Linked DNA regions of Struthio camelus. The protein of the gene in region 1 binds, or shares a complex with, the protein of each later gene. Links are inferred from orthologs where the notes say so. Each region holds a gene or a part of one and is shown on either strand. Other genes may lie near its edges. The genes, in order: ADGRG1 and CD81.

What was found.
Region 2: ADGRG1 (region 1) and CD81 share a complex: the UniProt entries of both Homo sapiens proteins name them as parts of the GPCR-tetraspanin complex. The link is inferred for Struthio camelus from reciprocal best matches to the Homo sapiens genes ADGRG1 and CD81.

Annotation. Positions count from the first base shown.
Region 1 is NC_090951.1:30,114,839-30,129,723, reverse strand, and holds the start of ADGRG1 (adhesion G-protein coupled receptor G1), read right to left. Parts: upstream 7,325-14,885; 5' UTR 6,990-7,324; coding exon 6,741-6,989; intron 5,230-6,740; exon of another isoform or gene 5,149-5,229; coding exon of another isoform or gene 5,134-5,148; intron 2,903-5,133; coding exon 2,815-2,902; intron 2,228-2,814; coding exon 1,802-2,227; intron 1,233-1,801; coding exon 1,109-1,232; intron 852-1,108; coding exon 704-851; intron 61-703; coding exon 1-60. UniProt on the Homo sapiens protein: Adhesion G-protein coupled receptor (aGPCR) for steroid hormone 17alpha-hydroxypregnenolone (17-OH), which is involved in cell adhesion and cell-cell interactions.
Region 2 is NC_090946.1:18,542,492-18,557,926, reverse strand, and holds the start of CD81 (CD81 antigen), read right to left. Parts: upstream 5,603-15,435; 5' UTR 5,462-5,602; coding exon 5,448-5,461; intron 4,028-5,447; coding exon 3,913-4,027; intron 1-3,912. Other genes in the region: TSPAN32 (tetraspanin-32), read right to left, coding at 8,699-8,741, 8,899-8,990, 11,639-11,722, 13,276-13,368, 14,924-15,025. UniProt on the Homo sapiens protein: Structural component of specialized membrane microdomains known as tetraspanin-enriched microdomains (TERMs), which act as platforms for receptor clustering and signaling.

The DNA.
Region 1 (14,885 bases):
CACCTTCATGAACAGGCTTCTTGGCAGGTCCACCGCAAACCCATGGACCTCTCTGCCCTCCTGCAACAAGAAACTCATCAGAGAAGACAGGTTGGGAGGGTGTGTGAGGATGTCAGAGGACTGAGATTGCCAGGGCAGGCTGCACAGGAGCTAGGGCATCGGCCAGCATAGCATGGCCAGGGAGCTCCCACTGCCTTGCACCAGCCAGGGAGCTGAGCAGTGCCTGACTGGGGCTCCTGGCCCCCCGCACAGTCCATATTAGAGGCTGCGGAGTGAAGGAGAAGGGACCCTCGGACTGCAGTCCTGTCCCCTGATTTGGGCCTTCCTCCTGCCTCAGCTGCAGCCCTTCCTGGCTGCTTGAGAAGAGGGGACACTTCCCTGCCCCTTTCTGCTGCTCTCTTCTGCTAACCCCTTCCCACTAAGGCTCTGGGAGGGGACAGCGAGGTGTCTCCCAGAGATTACAAGTCAGAAGGTCGGAGCATCACTGAAGCCCCTCGCTGCCTCCCAAAAAGGGCCAAGAATGAGGAGGGCTCTGGCAAGTGCCTCTGTCAAAGCTCCTGCAATGACTACGGTGGGTTGCGGGGGTTGGGGCCACCGCTCCTCGTCCCAAGGAGCTCTCGGCTGGCAGGACTCTCCTCCCCAGCTCTACAGCCGTGCTTTCATCCTTGCACGCTCTGCTGCTCAGCTCCCAGCCTGAATTCACCTCTCTCCGGGAAGCAAAGGCGACGTCCTGAGGAGCTCGACCAAGTTCGATCTTCAGGACAGTCGCATGCATGGCTGCCTGCCCGAAGGTCCGGTTCTGCCCTTCAAACTCCACCTTGGCCAGCTTCTTCTCAAATTCCTGCAGTTTGCTGTTGGGGAAAGCGGGGCGCGGAGTGAGTGGAAGACAGCAGGCACAAGCTCTGCTCTGAAAGCCTCCATCGTCCAGCCAGGAAAGAGAGACATGCAAATGCTCCGACACCATGGGCAGGCTCAATAAACACACCCTGCCTTAATAAAGTCATTGCCTGGCCTTTACCAAGGCCCTACGGGGCTGCATCGAGCTGGCTGGTGAGAGGCCATAAGCATAATGAGGAGGACTTGGGAATGGCTCAAGCCAGGAACTCACTTGCGAAGGGTCCTGTGTGCTGGGACTCCTGCAGCTGCCACAGGGGGCTGCCCCATGAGGCTATCTAAGTCGGTTAGCTCCTTTTCCACATCTTGCTCCCAGACAGGCATGTTTTCTGGAGGGACTGATGGGCACAGAAAAGGAAACACTGTGGGAAAAGCAGGCAGAACCAACTTCCTCCCTACCCCGAGCCACCCTTGGGCAGTGGGCTGACTCCCCAGGGGGTGGAGCCCTAGTGGACCACAGGAAGAAGAAAGCAGAAGGTTTCAGTGTGGCCCTCAGCATTTCTACCTGGAAGAGCAACCAGAGACCGGGACCCAGAGGGCTTCTCCTGGTCACCTTGGGCAGCCAGAGCCTCAGAGACCTTTGCAAGGTACTCGAGTTCCCTGGATTTTAGAAGGCCAAGGCACTTCTGAAAATCTCAGCAACCCTCTGCCTTCATGTTTAGGAACCTGCTTACCCAGGGAAACATGGGTATCAGGGGCAGCCTCTAGGCTGCTTCAAGCAAAACTACTTCTCAACTACTTCTCAAAACTACTTCATCAACCCTGAGCAGTGTCCTTAGACCACTGTACTACAGCAGATTACCAGTACAACATAGTTGCTCTGCTCTTCAGCAGAGCACATGTGATAGAGAGGGTTGGGGATGAAATCAACCCTTCCTTCATCAAAATAGCACCGAATTGCCTTTACCAGGGAAGAAGTAATGAGATGCGCTGTCAAGGGAGGTGTTCTTCTGGCCCTTGAAAATATAGGACGCGCTGAAGATAAAGCTGCTGTTCTTTTCAGTCTTCTGATTTTCTTTGCCCCAGATGATATTATCAGACAGGTCTTTTCCCAGGAGAAAGTTCTGCTTTCCATATGCAAGCTTGAGGGTCCTGTTGGGCTTGAACCAGTAGACACAGAAGCGGTACCTGCCTAAAGTCAAAGGCAAGCTGTACTTGTAATAAGAGTTTCTCTGGTTTGGCAAAAAGGGCCCTTTTATTATCAGTGCCTGGGCTGTGTTCTCAATGGAGATGTCGGCAGGGCTGTGCTCGTAGATGACAGAGCTGTTCTCAGTTTGGTTTCGTTCACCGCAGAAGCGGAAGTCCTCTTCTTGGCGGCTGCTCTCCTCCATCCCTGCATTGCACAAATGCCAGGAAACATTCACCTCAGCCTGAGGGCTCCGGGGTCAGGGACGGCCACCCCCCCGGCAAATCACCTGCTGCCACATCAGCCAGCAATCATGTGCGTTACGACTCAGCCACCCTGTTAGCCTAGGCTCTCCCTCAAACATGCGTGACCCCATCCTTGGCTGAAAGAGTGACTTAAGCCAGCTTCGTGAATTGCCCACAGTTACACTCGGAGGTTTCACTGGTGAGCCGAGGCTCCTTGATACGTAGGACCTCCCCTCTCTCTCTAGGCCCCAGCCTCTCCCATATGCAGATCCCCAGGGCTGGCAGAGTCCAATAAAGCAAAGGGGTTCTCCATCTCCATGGGGTCTCTAGAAAGGATCAGACCACTTCCAGGTCTCTGCCTTGGAGACCCCAATGGAGCAGGAGCAAGAGAGGAACTCAAGCTTTCAAACAAGGCCAGGAGACATTTCTAGAAACCATGTTGCAAATACCTCTAAGTACCCCTCAGCCCTCTCATTTTGGGGCTGCCAATTACTTCCAGCAGCCCAAATCTGGCCAGCCTGGGGCAGGACATGGCTTGAGGCAGCCTACCTGGGAGCAGGAAGAGAAGGAGCAGAAGGAAGAGTTGCATCATGGATGGCTCTCTCTGCTTTGGGTGCCTCCAAGGAGAAAGCGGCACCTAGAAGGTCGCAAAGAAAAGGAGCCACGTGAGTAATATGGGATGCCAGGAGCGTTGCCTGCAGCCGCAGTGCAGGGTCAGGGGACGGAGAGCAAAGCCTGGCTGCTACCCAAGTGAGAAAGCAGGAGCGTCTGGCTCTCCTTTAGGAGATAACCCTGGAAGGGGCTCCCTGGTGCCATTGCCATCAGGAGGAGCCATGGATACCAGGACACCCAGCACGGCTGGAAGGACTCCAGGCGCGAGAGAGGCAGGCAGCCCAGTCCTTGTGCCCTTAGCACAGAGATGGTGCCTCACTGCGCCCTGCATGCACCCCAGCCACTAACAATTCAGCGCAGGAAGGGATCCCTCTTCCTCTTGCTGCTTCAGCTCTCGGTTCATTTGCTGGCTTGTTATCACAGGCGATAGAAACAGAAGGAAACAGCAGTTTCCTACTTTGCCAGGCCTAGATTTATTCTCACTGGTGCTTTCAGCTCCTAGAGATTAGCTGAGGGGCTGGTCATGTTGCCAGCCACTTTGTGGCCAGCAAAAATGGCTGCACTGAGAGATAAATCCTGAGCAGCCAGGCCAGCAGAGATGAAGATGGAGCAAGGTCCAGAGGAATAACCCACTCTGGGTCCCCTGTTTGCAAAGTCAACCAACTGCTCCTGCAGCATAAAAGCACAGCTGCTGAGAACATGGCTCAGGCCAGCTCGGTTCACCTCGGACATTACCGCCTGCTGATCACTGCCAGGACTGGCCTGAACCGCAGGTGAAATGAGCTGCCTGGACACAAGTCCCAAGGAAGGGGGAGCCCTGTGCCTGCATTACGTGAACCGGATGGCCTGCGGGAATGGCCCCTTTGCAGCCTTTAAAAAAGAAAATAAAAAGCAACCTACACTATGCAGAACCGCAGCGCCTACCCAGAGCCACATGTCCTGCACCCTGTAGCCCAGGGCTACTGCTCCGTGCGGCATGTGACACCAGAGCACGGGGCTGACGGCTCCTTCACTCGTGCTTGTCCTCTGATGCAGCCCCGTCTCGCAGCAGGAGCCTCGGCGCCCACGGAGCAGCTCTTTCCCAGCTCAGCCTCACCCAGCTCTGACCACCTGGAGCGGATGGGGCTTTGCCCTCTTCTGAGGAAAGCAGCCTTCCTCCGCTCCCTGCTCACGGCCCAAAACCACGATCAGTCTCAGCGCAGCTTTTGCAGCGGCGTCCGTCTGAGTCAGCCCTGCCTCTGCCCGCAGCGCTGCGATGCTGGCCCTGTGTCCCTTGCGCATGGGGATGGGGAGCCAGGAAGAGGGGCAGAAGCTGTCCAAGCAGCGGATCTGAGAGCAGCGATCCCGGCTGCCAGCCAGGCTGCGGTCCTGGGCGCTCCTCCCCGCCACCCTGCTGGGCTCGTGCCGCAGCACCGGATCCCCTTGGACCAGCAGAAATTCTCTAACAAGCTTCTGCACTATGTTATTAAAGACACTAAGTCGCCAAAGGGTTGCAGGAAAGGTCTCAGGAATGGGAACCTAAGACAAAAGTAGTACGAGATGGGTTTAAACCAAATAAAATAAGGACTTCTGCATGCAGACAGGGAATTCCAGCAATCCCTGGAGGCGGTGGAGGCGAGGGCCAAAAAGGGACCAGGCACATTCATGGATAGCAGGTCCATAAACAGATCCGGAAAGGATGCACCCACGAACATTGCCCGTCCAGCAATGCTGGGCGTGGGGGAGTACGAGGGAAACGCTCGGCAGAAATCAGCCAGGCACATGTGGTCTCCCTAAATAGCATCCCCTAATGCCACTGGCGGTGACAGGGGACAGACCTGATGTTCATTCTTACGGCCAAAGTCATCCCAGCCATGCGGAAATCGGCTCTCCCGGGCTCTCCCTGCCCTGCCGTTAGTCCGCATGGCCTTGAATAAGCCCTTCTGCCCCAGCGCCACCCCACATCTTGCACGCAGGCTCAGTGATGCCAACACAGCAAGCGCAGCTGCCAAAACCCCCCTTCTGCCCCCAGCCTAGCTGCACCCGCCGCTGTGGGGCACTTGCACAGAGCCATGGTCTCCCCGCAGAGCAGCGGCGGCAGGCCGAGGGCTGCGGGGAGCAGAGCCACCCCGGCAGCGCTGCTCTGCCTGCCGCCCCAGGGAGCCAGAGCCGATGCCCCGAATTAACCACATCTGTCCGTCGCCCCTGGCAAGCTCCCCGGCACCCTTCTCTAACCGGCCTGGCAATGTCCTCTCAGTCTCTTCTTTTTTGCCTCACCTCTCTTTTCTCCATGATCCAGCCACCTCTCTCCACTCGTCTCCCCCTCTCTCACACAAGTCCCCCTTCTCCGAAGCTCCCAAACCGTGCAGGCACCTACAAAAGCACAGATGAAGTCTGTGACAAGCGGGTTCCTCCCACCCCTGCGTAAGAGGTGCAAAGCGGATGCCTGGAAGGGTCCGGGCACCAGGAGGGGACGGCACGGGAGGGGACGGCACGGGGTACCATGCACGTGCAGGTGCAGGAGCCGCTGGCTGCAGGGCAGCCCCAGGGAGCAGGAGGCTGTGGGGCAGAGTGGGCATAGGGGGACCTCAGTGACAAGGCCAGGCGCCTGGCTCCGCGGCGTCCTCACCGCACTAGCAAGGAGACGGGACCACCTGGGCGGGTGGTGTCGCTCCACCCCAGAACTTCACGCAGCGCTGGGAGCCCAAAGGCACTAAGGGACCCACACGTCCCAGCTAACCACGCGTTTCTTACCCTCAGGCCCTCCCATCTCACTTCACCCATCCCCAAGGCCACCGTGTCAACCACATCTCTGCCTCAGCTACGCCATCTGCCATCTCTAGAAACGTCTCGCCTTTTCCTTGCCATGCTTTCACCCTCCCTCGACACAGCAATAGCTGGTGGCCGAGTGGGGCTAGGCCACGGCCCGTGAGCCCCAGCATCAAGCCTGGCTGGTTAGCAACGCTTTGAAGAAAGCTGCCTGATGAGAAAAATCACTCGTGTTAGTCTTGACCACACCAGCACCCAGGAAAAAGCACTTTTTCACAAATCCTGGGTGGAAAGTCTTGACTGAAAACAGCCAACATCTGAAAAACTGAGTGGATCAGGACCTCAGCAGCAGCAAACAGTATAATGCAACCTGTGAGAGCCTCAAACTGAGCCTCCTGAGAGTGGAAAAGTATGACTCAAGGGCTGGATGGGCCGGCCAGGCTGAACAGGGCGCCCCTGCACCCCGCGATGCTTATTAATGCCCAAAGCCAAGCCAGCGCCTGGTCCTGCCGCCGCCGCCGGGGCTGCGTCCTGCTCCAGCATTGCTCTCAAAATCATCCCCGATGAACCTGTCCAGCTGGCGGAGGCTGATGAATTTGGTGCCTGTCAGGGCTGTTCCGCTCCCGGGGGCAGGAATCACTATTATCCATTTAAATAAAAGAATGGCAATCGTCTGGCAGCAAATGAGCATCGGGGAAGCTCGCAGCCAAGCAGGTTGGCCAGGCTCTGGCAAGCATTGCCTGCAAAGGCTTCATTTGCCGCACAGCTGAGAAATTTTTGCCCCACCAGCAGCGCGATTTCAGCAAAGAGGGAGGAACAACAGACGCACTGCATGCGAAAGACAAAGAAAAAAGCCTCATTTGTGATTGGGGAGCTTTCAAAGGCATCTGAGGCTTGTCGGTAGGGAAGACCAAGGGAAAACTGCTTGCTTGGAAACGCAGCATCCTTAGCTGGTTACTTGATGCCCTAGCAGCAAGGCTAAGGGAAGAGGGGTTTAGCTCCAGCCCATTTCTCCTAACGAAGGCTGGGAAATGCAGCAGCCCTCCTCGCCTGCTGCCATCGCGCTGTTTGCTCACGACCTCGATTAGTGTCAGTATTGTTCAAAAGCAGCTTACCACCGCCACAAGGTGAACTGCCTCGTCCTCGAGCTCCCCTGCTACAGCCGCCTTCGCGAGTGGAGGAGGAAGTTTCGCTGGCCAGCCAGCTCCGTGGCCACATCCTGCACCCACCCATTGCCTGCCAAAGCCAGTCAGTGGCAGCCCAGCCCTGGGCAGCCCCTGCTCCCGTCTGCTCCTGGGAGCAATTTGCCGCCCCTGGAAGATGGGGCCATGGGTTTGCAAACCCGCCTGCCACCACGGGAGCATGGAGGTAGGATGGCAAAATAAAGCTGGCTCTGTGCAAACAAACACGGCAGGGAAGGGGGTTAGGATCAGAAAGCAAACACACCCAGCCACATGGTTATGCTGTCTGCTAACCTGATCCGAAGGATGCCCTACAAGGAGATGCACAAGGGCTGATAACCACACAGTGAGCAACGGAAAACACCTGGGCTGCTTAAAAGCAACCCCCGCCAATGCAACACTGACATTAAAGCGGGGAGCAACAAGCCCGTGGATGCAAAACCCGGTGTATGGGCATGCACACACCACGGCGGAGAGCTGACGCGCTGGGGACACGAAGCACAGGGCCCTGAGGTGTGGGGTCGGCAGAGCTGCGCCTACCCGAGCTCGCCCAAGACCAGAAATCCCCATGGAGGGGCAGCTGGTATTTCCCCTCTGAACCAACTGGCCCTGCTCGCCCAGATGCAACGCAATGCTCCGTTGATTGCTGTTTCCTGAGCCAAACAATAGCTGAGATAAAATCCCCTGAAGTGGCTTTTCAATGGGACAACTCAGCTCCCAGCTGTGCCCACAAAAGGCAGGGCTGCAGCCCGCGGCAGTGGCTGGGGCTGCCCGGAGCTGGGTGCCCCGGGGGAGGCTGTGCCCCAGCCACCGCCATCCCCGTGGGGCTGTTACGTGCTGGGTCCTTGAGCGAGCACCCAGCACGGTTTGCTTCCCATCCGAGGGCACCCAGGGGGATGCCATGCTGCCGTACCCTGATTTTTCCCTATGCAGCTCCACGCGATGCCCAAGCAAGCCTGGCACCCTAACACTCCTCGGGAGCCTTCCTTGGGCCAGTCCATCCTCTGCCTCGCCTGCCCTGGGCTGGCTAGGGTCCCTGGCCCCTCTTTCGGGAGCTTTCTTAGAAATCTGCAGCCTCCTGTTTTTCAACAAATGCACTCCCCCATGCCAGCCCCTTCCACCCTGCTGGCCTCTCGGGCCACCGGCCCTACCTTGCATCCTTCCTGCTCTGGAGCAGAAAGGGCTTCCCGCGCCTTGCGCCCACTCCCGCCTCACTGGCCGCCGGCCGGCCGGGCTCCTCCGAGAACAATAGCGCCTGGAGGAGAAGTTCCTGCTTTGGCCCGCGTAAACCAGAGCGCAAGGAGGGCCCTGGGGGCACGAGCTGACCCGAGGGGCCGGGGATCAGCAGTGCGGCCCATCAAATCCGGCCCCTCGCGGTGGCTGCAAGGGGCTGTGTTTCCCCCGAGCCCCAGCTCCAGGAGGCAGGTGGTTACACAGCTTGCCAGCAAATAAATGTTCTGGCCTTTGGAAAAAAAGCCTAGGAATGTCAAACTATGTCCTCTAAACCTGGAGGGAAGTGGGGGCGGGGGAGGCAGTTTTTATTACTACTGAGAAATCTGATTGCTGTCTGGGTCACTTAGCGCCAGGTATTTGAACGCTGGGAGGTGGCATGTGGGCTTCTCATGTGATCTTTTTTCCAAGGAGAAGGGAAGATGTTCTCATATCTTAAACAAACACCGGAAACGCAGAGATCCCGGGGCTTTTCTCTCGCTTTCGCTTCAAGGCTTGTTAGGAAAATACGCCAGCGCTCTGTGCCTCGATTCTCCCATCTCCGAGACATTAGCAAGCACCTGGCTTTTCGCCCGCGGCTGTTATCAGGGGGAGCAGAGGCCAGACCTCAGGATGCGGATGGGGAAACCAAGGCAAAGAAAAGGCAGCGAGTTGGCCCAGGCCACAGCAGGCTGCTGGAGACGCCGTGCAGAAGAGCTTCACCCGACCGGCAACCACAGACACAAGCGCCCGCGAAGCGCTTTCGGGCCGGGGTTGAAGCTGCAAGAGGGAGCAGGCATCCCTCCGCCAGGAGGGGATGCTCAGGAGTGCCCCGGGCTCCGTCACCCACCCGTGCCCTCCCGCGCTGGCCTTCACAGGGTGCCTTTGTCCTTGGCTCGCGGTTACACGTCTGCAAGGAAGCCGTGCAAACAGGGGCCAGCCTGCACATTAGTCACCATATCGGTATTCGAGCCCTTCCCGTCACCGGTGGGCGTCAGGCACGCGCTCACCCTCCGCCTCGACCGCTGAGCTCTGGACCCTGGCGCGTTTGCAGACGCCCGCAGCATTGAACCGGTGGCTGTACTGAAAGGTCGGCGGTGCCAGGCGTCTGCCGCGGGCTGCAATGTGGTGTTTCGGTTGGCAGCCAGCTCAGGTTTGCCCCCGCATCCTGGCACGGGGCTCGGCTGGGGGCTGCACACAGCACTTCGCTTCAGCGGGCACAGGTTGAATTTTGCAGACAGGGCCGAAAAAAAATTAAAGACCTGATAAAAACTCCCACGGGTCCAGCCTAGGTTCTTTCCAGATCTTCTGTCCTTCATGGGCTGCTAGTAAACATCTCCGGAGAAAGACGTGAGGGAATCTCATCCGACAGCTGATGGGGAGGATGCCGGGGGAAGACGGCACAAATGGACGGCTGGTATCTGAGACTCTGGAGGCAGCAGCTTCACTTAAGGCTGTATCTCAAATCTTCAAAATTACAAAACCTCCATTTCCTAAAACACACCATGGCCACAAATACCTCAGCTAACTAAACCATCCAGTGCTACCTCGATTCTTCTGTAGCAAAAGGGGAACACAGGGCACCTCAACCAGCAGCATGCAAAGCCCGTGGCTTTGCCAAGGGCTATAAATGGTCTCCAAAGGGGCAGGTATGTTTGCAACGATTTCAGGCTTGCTGCAGTCTCAGAGGAGCAGCTTGCATCTCCCAAGTGCTGCACTATTGATGCAGGAGGGGTGGCAGGGCTGGGCCACAAGGCAAGTTATGTAAAGTTTGGGGGTTTCCGAATCCCATCTGTGAAATGGGAATCAGCTGGTTGGGGCTGGGGTTAAGACACGGGAGCTCCCCCAGCAACCTGCAAAGTGCGGCACTGCGGTACTGACCTTGGCCTATACGTGCAGTCGTTCTGCTAGGCCGCCACGTAGAGCGTGCACCCATTGCCCACCTTTGGCCCTGGTCACAACCAGCAGCTCCGAGCCAAAGGGCAACAAAGCTTTTCCCCGCTCTGGGATGAGTGGGTCCATTCGGCTACAACTGGATGGATCACGCAGCATCCCCCAACTTTTGGAGGAGAATGCCAAGAAGCAAGAAACCTCCCAGGGCTGCAGGTTGCCTAACACAAAACTGGAGGCATCTCCTCCCTGCCTCTTCTCAAAAACCTCCCACATTGCACAACACAGGTGTGCATAGTCCCTCCTGCAACCTTGAGATCAGGGCCCCGCTGGCATCCCACGGGCATGGGGAGACAGGGATACTCTTTGGGGGTCTTTGTGCCACAGACCAAAGCAAGGAGTTGCTTGAATGTGACTAAGACAGCCAGAGCTGCCTCTTTCCTTGAGGCACCAACACGGTCAAGGAAAACACTCTGTTCTCCTCCATCCTGGACAACCAGCAGCAGCTGCGAGTACAACAGATCTGCCAAGGGTTTCATCCAGCGGTGGCCCAGATCAGATCCATGCATGGGGCAGGTCCTCCTGGACATCTTCAGCCTACCCTTGGCCAGGTGCTGACTGCAATGGTGGGGTGGTCCAGGAAGGACATCCCAAATCGGTGTTTTCCAGCACTCACTGCCCTGGCCTGGCCTTTACAAGATGGGTCCCAGCCACAAGGTAGCACCCGTCGAAGCTGCCTGTGTCTGCTTCACGCTGGGCTGTTGTTGGAACCGCCATCCTTTGTCATGAGAAACCACTTGGCCTCCTCCTACGTGTCGGCTTGCACCTTCTCCCCATCCAAAACACCAATTTCTGCAGCTTCCAAAGCTTCCTATCCCAGATGGCTGTGAAGCAGTGGCGCAAACTGTCATCGCTGCTCTGCTTCCCATGGGATCATGCCATGCAGAGGAAAGGGGGGTTAATGTCAACCACCAGAGTGCTCAGCACGTTCATCCTACATCCCACACGTGGGCTGCAGGTCTGTGCCTGAGACTGTCAGGTGACAGCAGTCACCAGAGCAGGCATGATGGGACCAGCTAGAGACCTAGTTCCTCCTTACCTGCGCCAGATGCTGCCTGAATGTGCCATTCAGGTCTGGGGAGCTGTAGGTCACAGCAAAGTGAGGGTAGTTCCTCCAGGTCTCTTCCCCGTCTGCACGAAGCAGCTCTGCATCGCTTCCCAGTCTCGTGGGTGCCAGTGAAGGGAGATTTAGGGTAGTGCAAAGCAGAGCAGCCCAGAACTGCTCCGGATCGGGTGCCGAGGCTTTTCATTTTTGGCCCTGGAATCTTTGAGAATGGCAGCAAAACCGGAGCCTTGCAAGGTATACAGGGGCTAGGTTAAACCAGGCCTGCTGGGCTTTCCTCACTGCAGAAAGGTCAAGCACAACCAGAGGAAGGCTGCAGCGTCTCCGCAAAAGCAAAGCTCCTGGAGCAGCAAAACCTGCGCAGCACCAAGCAGCAAAGAGCTCGAGCTGGAGTAACCGGCCCCACCAGGGTTTTATGTGCCACATCTCCCTGGTCCTTCTGCAAGTTTCCTCCAGCTCCAGGACTTTTTACTAGCTTGAGGAGTACTTGCTGGAGGAGTCTGTCCGTGATTAATACCTCCATTAAATACTACCACCCAGGCTGGAGAGGGTCAGTGTGTGCCCTCGATGAATGCCCGCTCCTGCACATGCCTTGTCATCCCTGCTCCACGTTTCCCTCCTGTTGGGTTTGAGGAGCCAGGTAGGAGGCCCTGGGGGCCAAATCCCCTCCAGGTCCCTGCCAAATCGCAGCTGTTGGGGAGCTGATGGAAAAAGAGTTGGCGGGTCCAAGCCCTCCTGAAAAACAGGCACCAGCAAGCTGCGCTGCTGCCCAGCTGGTACCACATCAGCCACAGCCTGTGAAAGTTTCTGTCTCCCAGCCCAGTGGAGCCATGTCCCGCTGGCACTACCAAAAGGTGCAGGCACTGCCAGCCCCAGAGTCCCCCATCCCAGCAGCACACAGTTGCTTGCAAACCTGTTGCTCTGCGAATAACAGCCCCTGGCCTGCAGGATTAAGAGCTGGATGGCAATCAACTATGCAACATTTTTAGGCCTCGGTCTGATTCATGCGGGAGCTGCAAATGCCGTGGAGGCACAGCAAAACCTGCGGTGCCCAGGATCAGGACTGCACTTCAAGGATTGCTCAAGGCCCAGCCTCTCTCTCCCAGGCTCATTCTCCAAAACCGCCTCTGGGTGCCAGGTCCTGGTGGAGTTTGAAGCAGGGTACTGAAGGCCTCAGACCATGAAATGAGCTCTGGCTATGTTCCCTGCTCAACTGTGATTCAGACTTGCTGCCAAGGGGTTATTCCAGGAGACTTAATTCCAATTCTCTGGCTGGTCTCTCTGGGTTTCTGCTGGTCTCTCTGGCTTCAAGGGGGTAGTTCAGCCAGCTCAGAGATGGTGAGCGCTCTGAATCAGCTCTGAGCCCTGCAGACCCCGACGGTGTGCCAGAACTAGCAGAAGCAAATTGAAATTTTTCATGAGGCATCCCCCAGCAGGCACTTTTGGGGAGAGAAATCACCCTGTTGAGACACGTCAGTCAACCTGCAGGGACGCTGCGCCCTCTGCGAGGAAGGAAGAGCCAAGTGCACTGGTGGTTCCCTCAGGGCTGGTTGAGGTGGGAAGTGGTGGCCACACGCGCTGCGCTGTGGTGGGGTGCTTTGCAGTGCTCAGCTGTGCTCGAGGGAGCAGCCGGGAGCAGCTGGCCCTGGCAAGGCACAGGGGGGATTCACAACTTCCCAGCCTTGGAATTCAGCCTGGCTCCAGGGGCAGAGGAGACGGGTGCTGGGGCAGGCAAGCGAGAGCCCAATTTAGCAAGGAGACGAATGGCCTGTAGGGCCGGGCTAGCTGGCACACAGGAACAGAGGCTTCAACGCAGAAGTTGCACCTCAGACACGACTAGTGCAGTCCAATGGGGAGACCCCTCTCTGACTCTGCCAGGACACAGACGTGCCACACACCCAGCTCCGGTGCGCGATGGGAAATGTCCTGTCACAAGCCTGGACCACGGTACACCCCAAAGCCTCCCATCTGTCCCTGCTAGCACCCATTAGCTCTGTGCAGGCAGGCTGGACAGGGCTCTCTGCTCCCTGCCCACCATGCAACCGTCACCCCGGGGTGCTTCCCAGCGGCAACAGTCCCAGTGGGTGACGGATTCCCACGGTCGTGTTGGCCGTGGCTGCGGAGCGCCACTGCTCAGGCCCCTGGGGATACCGGCTGCCCAGCACTGCCCTCCCTGCTGCGGGAATCAGGGCCCCGCAGGGACAGTCGGGGACAGGCGTGCTCACCGCCAGCACCTGCACCCTCTGCAGACACATGCCGGCTCCCTGCCCACACCCCAAACGCACGGAGAGCCAGAGACCCCGCAGCACACCCTCCCTGTATTCCCAGGAAGGGGGTGTCAGAGAGCACCCCGCCTCCGTGGCCGCTGGGATCTCCGCAAGTAAGCGCACCTGATGCGCCCTGCAGCTGCCCCATCCCTCCCGCTCCCTGCCGAGCCCTCCTCTCTCCCGACGCCTCTCGCTGCCCCAGCGCTGCGGCTCCCCAGTCCCCCCAGCTTCCGACCCCCTCCCCGCTGTGCCCCATGCCTCGCAACACCCCATCGCTTCTGCTTCGCAGCCTCTCGCCAGCCTCCGGGCTCCCCAAACCTCTCCCAGCCCCAGCCCTCCGGCTCCGCCGGCCCCAGACCCCTTCCCCTCCGTGCCGCTCGCCGCGCCTCGGGTACCTGAGCCGGGGCCGGGCTGTGCCCGCTGCCCCGGGGCGGCGCGGAGCGGCGCGGAGCGGAGCCCTCGCACGCGGCGGACGGGAGCGACGCGGCTCGGAGCGGCTCGGAGCGGTGCGGCTCGGCTGCGCTTGGCTTGGAGCGGTTCGGGTCGGAGCGGTGCGGCTCGGCTCGGCGCGGCTCGGCTCAGACGGAGCGGTGCGGCTCGGCTGCGCTTGGCTCGGAGCGGCGCGGCGCGGGTCGGCTCGGACCGGACGGAGCGGCGCGGCTCGGCTCGGAGCGGCTCAGCTCGGACGGAGCGGTGCGGCTCAGCTCGGCTCAGCTCGGCTCGGCTCGGCTCGGCTCGGACGGTGCGGCGCGGCTCGGCGCGGACGGAGCGGTGCGGCGCGGCTCGGCTCGGCTCGGCGCGGCTCGGCGCGGACGGAGCGGCTCGACCCGCCCCCGTCCCCGCCGCTTTCCCCAACAGGCGGCGACGCAGCGGGGGGCCCCGCCCCCGCCCCCCCCGCCGCCGCCGCCGCCGCCGCCGCCGCCGCCGCCGCCCTCCAGCATCGCGGCCGGCGGTGCCCGTCCGCCCCGGCCCCAGCACCTGCCCGGCCCGGCCCGGCCCGGCCCGGCTCTGCTCAGCCCTATGCAGCGCGGCTCTATCCAGCCCTGCGCAGCCCAGCTCGGCTCGACTCGGCCCGGCCCGGCTCTGTCCAGCCCTACTGAGCCTGGCTTGGCCCAGCTCAGCTCTGCCCGGTCCCAGCGCTGCCGCCTCGGGGCTGGCAGGGCCCCGCTCTCCCGGGCCAGGCTGGGGATGGGGCTGGCCCAGGGTGCAGCGCAGAAGGGCTCTGCAGGTGCCAGGCTGCCTTACCCTGCCCTGCTGTCCTGGCTGGGGCTGGGGAGGGCACAGCCAGCCAGAACGGGGGCCAGGGAGCCGGCAGGGGCCATGACCGCAAGGGGAGCAGGTAACCGGAGGTGGCCCAGAACTCCAGGGTGCCCCAGGACTAGGGAAGGACGGGCTGAGGGCGAGGGCCAGCTCCAGGGTATTTCCAGTTCAGTTGATACGGCACAGGAGCCTGGCAAGTGTTCAGAGCAGGAAAGGAGTTGTTTGGTTGGCAAGCTGCACAGCCTGGCTGCAAAAAAGGCTTAAAAATAAGTTAATAGAAAAGAAGCCAGAACAGAGTGTCCCTGCAAACATTATCCTTATCCCGTGCAG
Region 2 (15,435 bases), on another chromosome or scaffold:
GTTAAAAACAAAAAGAAAAACACAAAACCACCCAGGGAGGACAGGCCCGTTTCCTCTCCCTTCTCATGAGCATACTTGGAAAGTTGGCTATAAGGGTGTAAAGCCATTATCATCAAGCCTGGCTCTAAACGCGTAACACTGAGGACCTGCCCGGTGCCGCTGGGCAATTTGAGAGGCCAGAGGGAAGTGCCTCATCCGCCCGGGCTTACGGGATCCTAATTCAATGCAGAGCTACAGTTGCACGTTTTCATTTCACGTGGCAATCCCGCCGGTTAGCCTCCCTCTCTCCCATCCTCCTCCCGGCTAGCGCAGAAAATACCACCGCCAAACATCTGATTACAAAGCACCAGAATAAAATACCTGTTATTTTGCAGGTGAAATCCTAGCCAGTTTTTAATCACTGCATCTTACTTTCAGTGGAAAATATGAAAGAAAAAGCCTGGGTTTCCAATTTACCTATGACAATAAGAAGAACGACTGCACCATCAAAAATCAGTAAGCAGGACGTTCTGGAGGTGCATCAAGAGGGGTTGTACTGAAACACTTACAAATTCATCCTACAGGAGGCTGGTTGATCCAAATGACATACTAATTTCCTTGTCAGAGAACAACATGCAATATTGCTTTTCAAGGTACGGACCTGAACAAAGGGCCTTAGATTATTGCTAGGGACAAACTGCACGGCATGGACACCGGCCTACGTTAACGAGAAGGTAAAGCTACACGGCCTCAGGAGAGGCCACGCGTTTAATTATATTCTAGTGGTTCCAGGTAGCTTAAGGTCGCTGGCAAACAAGTAGCGTAGGGGGGAAAAAAAAGAAAATACAACAGCACCGAAGCTGCACAGACACGCAACAAAATTAAATTTGCAACAAACGGGCCAGCAAACAGGCAACGGTGCCGGCAGAAGACCGCAGCAGAGCGTGCCCAAAGGCCGGTGCCAGGCAGTAGGAGGCTTTGCAACCTGCAGAAGCAGTTTGCCCACGCTCCTCATGCCCGAAACACTGCCCCCCCTCCAAAAGCGACCCCCTCTCCGCGCCCGGCAGGACGGTGCCTGCTGCGGGCCCTCGCCTGACGGTCCACCGTGCTTCCTTAGGGGAGCTGGGCAGCGCCGCTACCTGTTGCGGAGGGCGTCCTGCCTTTTCCCTTTCCCCGTTCGCCTCTGTTTTAGGGTCAGGCACTGCTCTGATTTGTGCTGGCTCCCACAGTAGAAAAGCAAAAAAGTAAGGGGAGAGGAGACGATGTTTTTTCCCCTCCTCGCTTTCCTCCTCTCCCCAGTCCCAGCAGAGAGCGAGCACGTGCTGGGCGTCCCTGGGAAGCCTGAGAAACTGGTATACGCAGCAACGAAGAAACAGCCAAGAGAAAAGAAAAATCAAAACAGCCCTTGGCATTGCAGGTGGCGACCTGTCCAGCAACGCCACCTCGACGCTGTCCCAGATACCCCCCAAGCAGCCAGGCGGAGGTGAGGGTGGAGGAGCAGAGGCGTTGCTTACAGCAGGGGAAACAGAGGGCTGACGCAGGCAACGTTTCATACGCGTGTGCGTCGCTACCTCCTCAGCGAACGTTTCCATTTGAATTAAAAAAAAGTCTCATACACATATCTAAGGAAAAGATGCTTCCAAAATCTGCTTTCCACGCTCCGGAGGGAGCGGCTGGCGCCTTCGCTTCGGCAGGCGGGTTGGGACGTTCCCTTGCCCCAGTCTGCAAATTCAGCTGAAGCACCATCTTAGCACAGGGGCTCGTGGGTTTTTTGTCAGCCTTTTGGGGCGGGGGGACCGAGGCAAGCAGAAACCGGCAGCTGTGCCTGAAGTTTCTGTTTCTAATAAACTCAACCAACGGTTCCCGTCTGCGCAGCCTGTCTCCTTGCCATATTTAAATATTTATATTAACGTATCTATGGTGATGGATCGAGTTATATAATGAGGAGGAGGAGGGGAGAGAGGATGTTGAAGAGGAATAGCACCGGCTCCTCCTGAAGCCTCTGAAACAGGTAGGAAAACTGCCTTCAGAAGCAAAGGTTGGCTGCGAGGAAACCAGGGGACATCGGAGGATCAGAGGAAACTCCAGGGATTCCCAAGCCGGTTTCCGAGCCCAGGGCGGACACTCCCCTCCGGTGAACTCGGGCGCTTCTGCTTTCTAACCAGAAAGCCGACCTTCGTTTTTCTCAACGCATCGGAAAAGGCCGAGTTGTAGCTGGGGCGAGTTACGTTTTTGCCAGATGATTCATTCTTTGCTCTGCCGTGTGAAAGGAGCAGCCCAGCCCGCCAATAAGGCCACAGAGCTGCTGTTGTATAATCAATGTATAATTCATTAGTAGGTGAATGCAGATTAGAAGGGAATAGCTTATTGCTAACGTAACACACAACACGCGGCTAAAAAGAAAAAGAGCAGGTCCACAAGCAAGCTGGTGCACTTAGAGGTTAAACAAAGGCGCTCTTAGTTATGCTAAAGAGAGAGAGAGAGGGGGATTTTGCCTTGGAATAATGTGAATAACCTAAGGGAAGGTTAAAGCGAGAGTCAGCCCAGAGGCGGGGAAGGTGCCAGACAGACGATTTGCCGTTCCTAGTAGCAGGAGGGGCAGGATGCTAATCCCGTACGTAGCTATGAGGTTGTCAGTGCAAATATCAACCGCGCAGGTTTATTCCAGTTTGTTCAACGCAAAACACAGCTGGGCACAATCTCTGCCCAAGGAACTTACAACCACAATAAAGGGGCAACACAAAATATGCCGGCAGGGCAGGATCGCACCTTCCTTTCCCTCCTGTCCCTTTCAGGATTCCCAATATCGGGACCAATTTTCCATTAAGCGGGAGTCCTTCCGAAGGCTTTGCCGTTTCCACTAACGCGCTTGCTGCTCAAAGCGGCACGAGCACAACCAGATACCGGTAAAGGCACACAGCCACCCAGATATTGCTAAATCCTGGGAGTGTGAAGCTGGGATATTCTCCTTCCTAGCAAGGATGCAAGAAAGGACCTTTCCCTTTTGCTTGCCCGGCTCTAAGAGAACAGTGCCTTGAACACAAGAGGACATTAGTTGTAGGTGGTCACCTCTGCTTAGGGCTCTGCTTAGGGTATTTCTTCCAAGATGTACAAACTTGACGCGAGCTCAGCAACAACCCCGTATCTCTGCCATAGAAAGAGAAGGTCTTTTCCTCATGATAACCCTCCTGGTGGGGGTAGTTACGCAGATTCCCTCAGAGCATTAATTTACTCGACCGTCCCCGAGACCTTCAGGTGACTAAAGGCAGCCCAGAATTTAAACGTACGCCCGCATTGACACCACAAGGCTGGAAGCGGCCGTTCTTCCTTCTTAAACTAGGTATTTTTGAACGTTTCTGAGTTTCCTGGCCCAAGGTCTAACCTTGGCTCTGCAGAGCGCTCGTGGTCCCGGGCAGGGGACGAGCAGTCGACACGAGGGGGCTGCGCTCTTCCCCATGACGCTGGGAGAGCCCAGGCCAGCTGAGCTACCTCCAGGCTTTGTGCTGGGAGCGAAGGGGGGAAAGCGCGGCGGAGAGCGGAGCGACCCAGAACACAGTCGGGACTGGCCTCATCCGCTGGCCTGTAACTAGTCATGGGTTTGGCAGCTACTTCCTAAAGCTGTAAAACATGCAGTACGTGGATTTTTCCAAAACAGCCTCTGCCTCCAACATTCCTCGTCGGCTCCCCCTCCTTTCTCCTGCTCCTTCCCCTACCATCCTACCCGACGTAACATCTCTCAACGGACGAGGTTAATACTCACTACCCGTTGCTAATCCTCCCGGAAGAGGAGTCAGACATTAAAAACGAACAAACAAACAAAAGACTTTTCATCCTAGCGCATAGCGTTTTACTAAAAGAGACTAGCAACACCACCTCTTATTAAAGTCGGAGAGTGCTCGCGACAGGGCCGTGCTTTCAAAGTAGTTTTTTTACCTTGCGCATCTTCAGCGGCACAGGCTGAAGTTTCCTGTGTGGAACATCTACTTTGCGCTGAATTTCCAGAGGAAAGTTATAACAGGCTGGTTTTGAAAATATGTTGTTTCTGCACCTGGTTTAAGGGAAAAAAAAAAATCACAATCTGTCAATCTTTTCTTCAAAAAAAGATTTAAAATCTGTTTCCAAATTTACACAGTTTTAGCTGCACAGGAGATGGTTTCCTACAGACATGTAGCCAACAGGGCTGGAAAGAGGAAAACATTTTCAGCTCCAAGCCAGCTCAAGGGGAGGCTGAAAGCTCCCCGCTCTCCTTGCCACGGAGTTGTCCACAGGCTCAACAAATTGCTTGACCTGCGCTTTCCAGGGGTGCACCGAGCTCCTCGGGTCTTTCCAGTACCGGACTCGAGTCAGGGAAGTTGCAGAAGGGCCGCGTGCCCGCAGCTCCCGTGCGAGTCCGCCCCAGGAGCCCCGGCTCCCTCCACGCTCGCTCGGGGCAGACCGCGGCTCACAGCCCAAATGGCACTCGCCCAGGTGACCTCAGCAGAACTAATCGACCACTGTTGCAGCTTCGCTGACAATTCACTGGAGCCAATTCGCAACCCAACTTTGTTTGACTTTGCACCTTTGGCCTCCCCCGTGCCCCTCTTGCGGGTTTGCAGGTGTTTCCGAGCCCGGCTGCCAGCCTTGCGTTCCCACCGGGGAGGTCCATGCTTGCTTTCGGATGAAATCTATCTACTGGGGCTCTGTTTTTGCTACGCAGGAGCTCACGCGCAGGGAGTAGCGAAGTAAGGACTAGTGGGTGCAAAACACACCGGCTACAGAGCAGGCAATGATTTTTTTCATGTTGGCGCAGGTAGAAAAGTGCTGGACGTTTCCCAGCCACGTGACTTCTGTCACGGTATTGCTAGGCGGTGCCGTTTGGCAGCAGCAGCAGAGCCTGGGTGCTGTTTTTGGACCTGAACCTCCCCAACACTGCTGCAGCAATGCCTTCAGCTCCTCTGGCCAGGGCCACGTAGTGCTTTGAACGACAACATTTAAACACACTCCGTGCTTTTAATGAGTCCAAAGTCAAAATGCTATTTTATTAAAAATAATTAAAGTAACTGCTGTTTGGTCTCTGGCTGGTTTTAAAATGGCTTAGTCCATCCTCCTGAGCTCTCGGAGCGACTATATCTCTTGGGGCATGAAACACATAAGCATAGCATCACCACCTTCCTTAACTTCCTCCTTCATTTTTCCAGCACCGGTCACAGCATTAAGATTACAGCTGTTACGTGAGCAGCCAGTATCTAATACGTGATTTTTTTTTTAAAAAAAGAAAATTATAACGCTACGCTTTTCTGCGATAAGCTGCGAGCAAAATTTCTAGAAACACTTTGCCACCATCAAGCCTCGCCAGCTGACCCGTGCCGTCTGCTGCAACACCTCGCGTGGCTTGCTGCATGGTTTCGGGGGTGCCCCCACCTCAACCGACAAAGTCACATGTGTTTCAGTAGGGGAGAGGGCCCCCAAAGGGCCCTTTTTCTACTCACCAATCACTTTCCATGGCTGCAGTGGGAAATCCTGACCAGCGAGCTCAGAGGTGGCGGGTTCCCCAAACGCAGGCACACCAGCAGCAGCTACGACCATCTCGCGGCGAGCGTCTTTCCCTTGGGGAACCAGGCTAAACACAGCGTCCTGCTGAGCGCTACTCCGTCACGGGCTCATTAGAGATGCTTTTCCTTGCATAGGAGCTCCAGGGTATTCAGAAACACGTGAAACAGGAATAAAAACAATCATGAAACAGCTAGCACGTATGTACAGAGCATAGTGTCTTTAGTTTATACTGGATTGAATTATTTTTTTTAAACCAAAAAAAATTTGCACAAATTTAGGACAGGATTTCCCACCCACACCCCCAAATAAGTGCATTTAAAAAAAAAAATCAAAATCCCACAGACAGCTATCAGTGTCTTAGAAAGAAGGGAACTTCCAGCCACAGTGGGCAAAGCAAGTGCACATTTCCAGTCCGTTTCCCGCAGTAGGGAAGAAACGGCCGCGCTCCAGGCACGCCAGCCCCTCCGTGAATAGGGCTGGTACAAGTCACCTTCTCGACCTCGCTGCCTCTGCGGCAAAACACGCTGCACAGGTGTGAAACCTGCAGCTCTACATACAGACACGTGCATATATATCTTACAATAATATACATGTAAAAACGTGTGAGCATATTTGTATATATATACACAGACACATGGCAAGTGCTAGAACTTACCTGCTTTTTTTTTTTTAAAATGCAGTTCTGGTGGTTACAAATGACTCAAGGTAAAAGGGGGGGAAAAGAGGATTTGAGCCCTTCCCTGTTTCTTTATTATGTACAGGCTGCTCCTGTCCATACTCATCACTTTAAATTAAAATTTGGTGTGGGAAAGAGGAACACCTGTGGCTGTTGATCACAATGCTAAAGCTTTAACAAGGATATCTTTTCTCCTACTAGACTTTAGAGTTAATGAAGTTTAAAGCAGGTAACCCACACTGATCAAATACAGTCTATTATTTGCTGAATCTCCTTTTTCTTTTTTGTTTCGATATAGCAGAATTCATTAGTCCTCCAGCCACCACAGCGTGGTGGAAAAGGGGTGAATAAGACCTGAACATCCACTGTTTAAAAACTTAAACAAAAAAACCCCAAACCAAAAGCCTTTCTTCCAGTTTCCAAGCAAAACTTTAGAGATACCTTTTATATAAATACTCCACTCCTTATTTCATTGCTTAAGCGCGTCCTTAAGCTTTTTCCCCCCCCCGCCTCTGCTTGCATTATTCCTTGCGAGGGACAGGACTGCTCTCACATTAGCCAGTTGCTGTGATAAACAACAGCCTGAGAGCTACTCCAACTGGCAGGTTCCTCTTCCTCGGAGGGATCGACGCAGTCGTCCCCGTCCTCGCAGCGAAGGCATGCCTCTGCGACAGGCGCGTGCCAGCTGCGCGGGGAACATCTCTTCCCAGCACTGAGGGAATCACTGACAACTGCCCGTTACTCAAACGCCCGAGCAATCCAGACAGCCTCGTGCATTGCAGAAAAAGAGAAGGAACGACAGCCCTTTGCAAGAAATTCACTTTTATTGAAACCACCATGAGTCACATGAGCTGCCAGCTGGCTTGTGGAATAACAGCAGCATTAGCCTTGACAGTAACAGCTAGAGCTCACAGTGGAGACTGAGCATATCACTCTCCAGAGACAAAGATATAAGATATCTAACTGAATCTTTTCCTGCTGCTAGAAAGTGGGTATGTTTGCAAGGGCAGCTGCTAGGGTAAGCATATCACTAAATCCCTGCTAGACAGAGGCATGTTGGTGACTGCCAGGAGGTAGCCCGAGTAACACTTCTGAGCAGGTTGAACTTGATCCTGCTTCCAGCAAAGTCAGCGGTGAAACTCTGCTCGTTCCAAGGGGGCAGGATTAGGAGCGACAGTCCTTTCTCCCTTAATGCAGTTCTTCCCCATGCAAGATATTTGCAACCTTGGTGAAATACTAACCAGATTAGGGAAGGTACTGTAGGCTGTATTGCTGCTTTTACACGTGTAGCAGTCCACACCTGAGGGCCAGAAGTTGCCCTGAACATCAGCATTGGGGTTTCCTCATTTATTTCAAAAGAGGATTGCCCCCTTACTATTGTTCATGGGTAAAAGCTGCAATGAAGGAGAGCTTCCGAAAGCTGCTGTTACTTCAGCCACCATTTCACATACATTTAGTTCCCGTTTGAAAGCCCTGCTGTAAACTATGACTATTGCAACTATGGTTTTCAGTTCAGAAGTGGCTCTGCCTCTCTGCAAGAAGGGCAAAGCATGACAGGAAGCCATCAGATTAGCTAGACTGAGAAGCTAAGTCCTTCAGTTGATTGAGACTTTTCCAATTTCTATTTAAACTTATTATTGATAAAAAGATGTAATGAGGATGTGGAGTTGGACACTGTATTGCTAACCTGGCTGGAGATCAGTCCCATTCTCTTATACGTTTTAAGCACAAATCCTGTCCATGTGTGATATCAAAGTCCTTTTGTATTTCACAGCATGGTAGGTTAATGAAGATAAATATGGAACTAAGGCAGTAAGTTGAACAAACCAGTATAAAATTGATGCAACACCAAGCTCCAGGAGAGCTTTGATCCTAAGAATCAAAAATGATGGTGTATAGCATTAAAAAGGAGAAGTGATAGAAGGATACATCCGTATTCTGGTTGTATGTTTTAAAATTCATGCATTACTTTTTTTTTATTCTAACTTCTAGCAAGAGCTCCTTAAGTCTGGTAATATTTGAAATTAGGGAAGAAATTGGGGGGGGGGGGGGGAAAAAACACGTCAATGCCTAGATACTTATATATGATTAGAAACCTGCTCAGAGTCAATAATGAAGAGCGCCCAGGTTGGAGAACACATTTCCTATTAGCAGTGCCACACTTAGTGTAAACATACTTGCTGACAACAAAAGATAGGGCCTGGGCTACGATCCAAAGCTATCTTCCTAGAAACGTTCCGTCTTTTGGCGTCACGAGAAACTGACAATTGCTCAGATGAGAGTGCAAGAGAAGTCTGAATCAAGCAGCCTGGTTTAGGCTGTGATTTTGGCTTGCTAGGCTTTTTTCTTTTTTTTCCTCCTCAAGCAGCTGTTTGTGTCCCGATTTCCGAGCTACAACCTGTCCTTCCCACGCTCCCAGCGAGGCAACCTGCATCCCTGAGCCCAGGTGTGCGCGTCCCTCAGTCCTCATCCGTTTTCCGAGAAGACGTGGTACTGCTACTCCATAAAGCGTCATCCTGAGTGATCAGCTTGCAATGCACAGCAGCTAGTAGTGCTGGAAAGGGAAAAAGGCAACTTGAACAACGGCGACCCGTCCCGCCTCCTGTCCCCAAGCAGCACCTTCTCGGGTGATTTTGCAGACAACTTCAGGCAGCTTCCTATGCCAAGAGCTGGCTCTACCTAGTGGGAAAGTCAGGTCAACAAATTTCTACCTTTCTCGCAGGGTGTATTTGCCTTTTCGGTCCAGGTTGTTACTGAAGTGGATGGAGAACCAGAGGAATGAAGTCAGAATCATTCCATAAACCTAAAAGCAAATAAATGAGAGGGAAACAGTTAAATACTGAACTGATTATGATGCTTCAGCTGCTTGAAAAAAAGATAATAAATATTGCCTGTTAGTCCACTTGGCATTTCTGAACTTGTTATGTATGAAAATGTCACACTTTTGTTAGAAGAGCTGTTTTTCAACAAAATGGCGCACACCATAACTCCAGCATTACAGAAAGAAAAAGCATGCGGTTAAAGCATCTGATTAGAATTAGCACAGTACGGCTCAAACCCAGGCCTAAAAATACCAAAAATGAGAAGAAGCCAGGAAATTCAGATTTCAAATTCCTGCCGCAAAACATTCCTCTGTGCAAACAAACATATATCTTATAATAGCCTTTTGTAAACATAAAACGGAGGGAGGGGAATCTCATATATTGTTTGGGGCTACAAAGAAACATGCACGTGCACGATTCTGAAGCATCACCAAGACAGTACGCTTCCTTTGTATTGCAATATCCTGATTTGCTGACTGGTATATCACATTGCACAGCAGTGTCTGATGCCATATGGGAATTTACACAGGCAACTTATCAAAGGTAAGGCTGCTGCGGGAAGCGCGGTGAGGGCTGTAACGCCGCGCTCTTTTTAAAAGTTTGCCTTAATGTGAAAGTGCCTTTGAGTGCAGCATGATTTGGGCACATCTGTTAACGGCTCATTGTTAGCTGGAAGGACAGTGACATCAGAACAACCATACCAGTCATCACACGCTTCCTTCGCATCCTGCCATCACAATGGTAAATGTTTCGGTGAGATTTCCTCCAATGTGTACTTCAAAGACAGTCACGTTATCTGGCTATAGCATCAAGCTGTGAAAAAAATACGCTCCCACTTTTGTTTGAACACAGTGGAAGTGATATTTCTCCTATACCCAAGGAAAATTAGAAAGCAACACCAGATATTCATGGGTGACTTCGCATTATGCATCAGGTATGCCTCTAAGATTTTTCTGAGAAACAGCTCAGATGCATCTAAGTCTTTAGTATTGAGGCTTTATTGAATTTTAGTGTATGTACATAACTCTGTGTAAGTAGAAATATGCTAGATCAGACTACTACATATAGCATTGCCTCATAGTTTTCCTCATTTACTACTAGCAGTATAAAAGAAATACAAGTTTCCATTCATCCGAGTCTTCTCACCTATCTGAGCTCCATAGATCAGCCATGCTACTCTTATGCTATGTTTAAACACAGTGATTCCTCTGCAGATACCCACCTCTATCTTCAGACATAGCAACTCGAGAGGAGCAACTCAGACCCGTTATTCCTGCCAACATTTTCTAATGGGAACGGGATAAAAGACAAAGCGCTGTTTGGTGAAGGACTTAGCAGATGGGAATCATTGGCTCAAGGCTTTCCGTTGCTTTCACACAGCATTTATAGAGTTAGGACAACCTTTTGGGAGCATTAGCCTGCAGGATTAAGGGTAAAGCTACCACTCTTAGCTACCCTGCATGCTATGCCAAGATAGACAGAAGTAATTAGAAGGAAAAGAGACACCCTCTAAATACACATTTAGTCAGAAAAATTTGGCCCAGAGATACTACAGCAGGAAAAAAAACCCCTACCTTCACGTTTAAAACACAAGTCTCCTGGGTAGTATTCTTTTCTGGCATGTTTTACTACACACATAGGGCCCTTGTAGACAGGTAATTAAAATGTGATACACATCTGCCAAGTAGCAGGTAGACATAAAAAAAAAAAGGCGACTTGTTTTGAGTGTTGCTCTCCAGCTCTTGAACAAACTGCCCACATGGAGCTCTCTCGCTGACTTCTGCATTAAAGTAAATGCTCCTATTGCCCTTTCCACCCTCACTCCCCCCAGAAATAAGCAAATTCAGTAAAGAATGAGTGATTCCCTTTCTACCTGGGCTAGCCTCTGAAAATAACCCTCTGCAAGATCCTACATCAAAGGTATTGCCTGGGAGCCAAGACAACATGCTCTGCTCTTCCTTGTAGCCTGCTCCTTACAAGCCCATACTTCACCCACCAGCTGCCTAAGAGACATCTGTGCTGGGTTCGTTGACATTCATTAATAGGAAGGGACCTTTCCTTTCTGTGCAGCTCTCCACTGTTAGTGCTCATTAGCTTTCCAGGCCTTGGAGCTACTGCTGCGTGGAGAGGCTTCAGTCTTAGCTTGGAGGCAGCCTGTTTGCGTTAGGTAAGAGGAGGCACCGCGTTTCCTGGAAGCCTGGGCTTTTCTGCATCTCCTTTTCCACAATTGCTACTGACTTTTTATCTGATCCACAAGCATCTGTGTCAAGTGACACGGCCTCCCTTGCTTGCAGGACAAAACCCACATGAATGAAATTCAAATGCTGCTGCAACCCGCTCCCTTGCTGCTCTCCCTTCCCATCCGTCATGCCTAGTTTTGGCAGAAAGAGTCCAAAGAGTCTATTTCTGCAGAAAAATCCCTCCAGCTGCCACAAGACAGGCAATGACTTTTTCCTAATTTCCATGACCAAGTCCACCACTGTTTATTTCTCTGCCACTGAACTCCGTGCTCTGAAACCATCCGAGTCACACACCCAAATTCTAGGCTCCTGAGGCTAATTTAGCACATGACTCTCCTGCCTGCAGTCTGCCTCTCTGGGCTAGAAAAGCAAAGAATAAGCATAGCTACCATGAAACAGATGGTGACAGCCAGGAGCGCAGAGACAAAGTCCATGTGCTTCTTCAGGAAGTCCCGGATCTCTTGGAGGCAATCCTGAGATGAGAGAGACGCTCTGTGAGGGAACAGCAGCATCACGGGGAATTCATCCTCCACTGCCTGACTGTGCTTAATGTGACCTCAAGAAAAAAAAGCACTTTCAGGCCCCTAATCTCTCTCCAGAACTCTCTATCACAGAGACGACATTTGTTCGGAGGACAGAAAAGGGAGCGAGGTATTTTTCACTGTTGGTTGAGGAGCAAGGCAACAACAAGCAGCACCCTCCTCCGTATCATCCCCTGCGTCATGCGACTTTTGGTACCATGACATGGCTATGAAGTGGGACAGAAACAGAGGCAAGAGGGGTCTTGCAGAATTGGGCTGGTCCATTTGCAGACTGGAGGGACATCTTCACTCCTTTGCTCTGCAGCTTAGGAAGCTAAAAGTCTATAGTATATCTTCCATTGCTAAAATATGCCTTTTTTTTAGTATGGTGCATTTCAGACTGTGTTGAGGGCAGGAAGCACATGCACAGGTAAATATGCTCATGCACAAACATTTCTTCTAGTGGAAAATGGAAGGAGTGAAACAAAAACATGGAAGAGCAACACAATACGATGCAACATATGTTCTTCAAAGCTAGCTCAATTTTGCAGGTTGTTGTGAACATTAACGGGTATTAGTTTTAAGCTGCTAGCGGCCCCCCTGAAGTCCAGTGGGGCTTCCAAGACAAACATTAAGTCAAGAGAACCATTCAAAAATGTAAAAGTATGGCCTTGATCAAGCATTTTGCTGAGCTGGGTAAGAGCATTTGCGGCCCTACACCATGAATGCCAAAGAGTAAGTGTGTTGCAACCACCAAATCCTGTGGTTTCCCAGGCTGCAAAATGCATCTTCACATTTACCTCCCCCAGCTAGTAACTGGAGGAAGTTCAAACCATTAGAAGTAGTGAACCGAGTTACATGCACAGCAGCCAAGTTTGTTTTTCTCTTCCTTCCTGCTATTTGATCTGAATTCTACCCTGTTTCAATAATTTGTTTTCCAGGAGACAGTGTTTTGAAATGCTACCCTGCAGGCTGACATGTGCTTAAACATTAGCGCTTGACACCTTTGCATAACAAGGATGTTTTTGTATATCTGTAGCAACACGGTTTTGTTTTTCCTAGACTATACATGTTGAAGCCAGCAGCTTTAACTACTTCAATTCATTTAGCTACTCCAATGAAAGAGCCATATTCTGAGCAAATCTGTTGTATAAAGTCTACGTTATAACTTCAATGCAGAGAATACTGGTGGCTTCTCCGTCACTTTACTGGGATACTGCAAAAAAGAGGAATTAAATGCACTTGAAGCTACTGCTCGACATAATAATCCTTATTTATCAGTTTCTCTTTTTGCTTCAAGTACCTATTCAATACCCTTGGAAAAGGGGTTTCAATCATCATATACGCCTCCAGCATTTCACTGTTAGGGGAATACCTTTTTCAGTCTCAGAAATTAGTATCAAATGGAAAGTCCAGCAGGTTTTTGAGATCAGACACATGCCTGTGATATCACATAATCTCTGCACGTGCAGAAAGTAAGAAGGAAGGACTGACTTTCTCCCTACCTCTTCTGCTGTCTCGGCATGGCCTAGTGGGCACGTCTCACGTTCAATGTCTCCCGTCTCTCCGAAGGGAGAGTGCTTCCCACAGCACAGGAACTGAAAGAGAGCAACCCCTTGGTTAGGTGATGGTCTGAGCACTTCCCTTCCCAGCCTGTAGCCAGCCGTCAGTGACAGGAGACCCTTCACTTCTGCCAGGATTTAAAACAAACAAACAAAAAAAAAACCTAGGCTCTACAGAGCAAATAATGCAAGTACCCGACTCTCAATCAGAGCAATAGAAGTTGGATTCAGAAGAGTTGAATGGTCAGGACTCAGCACCTCTCCCGGGTGAGCTCTAAAAAAAAAAACCCCAGCAATGCAGAAGCTCCTATTTCCAGCACTTGCTGTGGGCTGGGGTAGGGGGAGTCCAGCAACACCCACTGTGAAGCTGGCTTCTTAGAGCCGTGCTTTTGGGGTGAGCTGGCCTGCCTGTAGCTCTAATGGAGAGGTGGAAGAGAAAAAAAAGAAAAGGAAGGGAAAAAAGTGGAGGACTGCTTATCCATCTATTAAAGGGGCTAAAGCAAGCAACTGGTGAAGCTGGGTACCCTGCCTAGTTCTCCTTTCCAAAGGAGGACTGAGGTGTACTAATAACCCCAGGCCTCAATTTCCCCACAAGAAGCACCAACACTCCTGGCTGTATCTCTGAGAGGCCACTGATGTCATTAGAATGAAAAATATTTGCTCTTAACTGCATTTTGAAAAGCACAGATGAAAGCAGCTTTGGAAAGCACTTATTGCATTGAATTAAGAAAACAGAGACAGAGAGAGGAAAAAAAAAAAAGGGATTTGTGTGGGAGGAGTCTGGAAACAAGTGAGCAAATCTGACCTTTCCTTCCAGTCCTGCTGCATGACATGAGCTCACTACCCAAACAGGCCCTGCTGTGCAGGGAGAGGACATTTCCGTTACTCAGCTGTCTGTGGAGGACTCAGGAGTCTTTCGCCACAGGAGACATCCTCGCTCATCTCGTGCCATTTCATCTTGCAATCTTTGAGGGGAAACTTCCTCCCTGTGCTCTGGGCCATCACCCTGACCCACCTACTGCACTATGGAGAACTTCCCTCTACAAGACAACATCCTCAGTTTATCGTTCTCAGGAGCTTGCTAGCAGCAAAACATTGCAAAAATCATGTATTCTCTGGTCCTCATCAGCAATATGCTCAAAGGTAAACAGAGATCATTAAGTCTGAATATTTCTGCTGGACCATGTAGAATTTCAACTTCACCCTTTTCCTACACCTGACTGGGGAAATCAGAGATGTGTATGTCCACTTTATCACACCACAGATACAGAGCAACGCAGCATGGCAAAGGGCCTGCTGAGACAGACAATATCAGCTACGGTGCAAAAGCTTTGAAGAGCTTATACCAAAGCGACACACAAATAGATGATCCTCGCCTGCTGTTGATAATCCTCTTGGTCTAACCTGGGAAAAGAAGTTTAGAAAGGGAAAAGCAGACTTGATAGCAAGCTGGGGTCTCCTGCTCCCAAGGAGAAAACAGCATTGCAGCATTTGTGAAACAGAACACGGGCTTGAACCGCAACCTACTGAAGCCAACAGAAAGATACTCCAGAGCAAATAAGCTCCAAACTCCAAAGCTAAGACAACTTACTGTTTCGTGGATGGCAGTCAGTTCCTGTCTCCTGAAGCTGGAGGCATTCTTCCTCGCCTCCTCATACACAAAGTCGTACACATCCATCATGCTGTCTTCCACCTGCGACGAAAGCAGAGATCTGTACCCACAAAACAGTGGCCACAGTCATCACTGTAGGGAAACGCAGTCCTCTTGCGTCCCACCACAAGCTCTTCCAGGTAAAGGGAGACAAGTCACGCAGGAGAGGAGACTACCACAGTGCTATTAAACTACCACCATGCAGAAGTTGGAGCTGGCATAAGATCCACCATGCTTCAAGGGGTGCACACGACTCAGAGTCCCACGAGAGAGCCCATGATGCTACACAAGGGCTGCGTGCGTACCACCTTGTGCCACCCACAGACCTTTTGGCATCGTACTGGGATCTCACCAGCTGACAGCAGGAATAGGGCCAGCGCTTTTGACCAAGTTTTGGATTTAGATCAAAGTAGTACTTGGGTGACCCACGTGCCTCTGACTCCCTTAGCAAG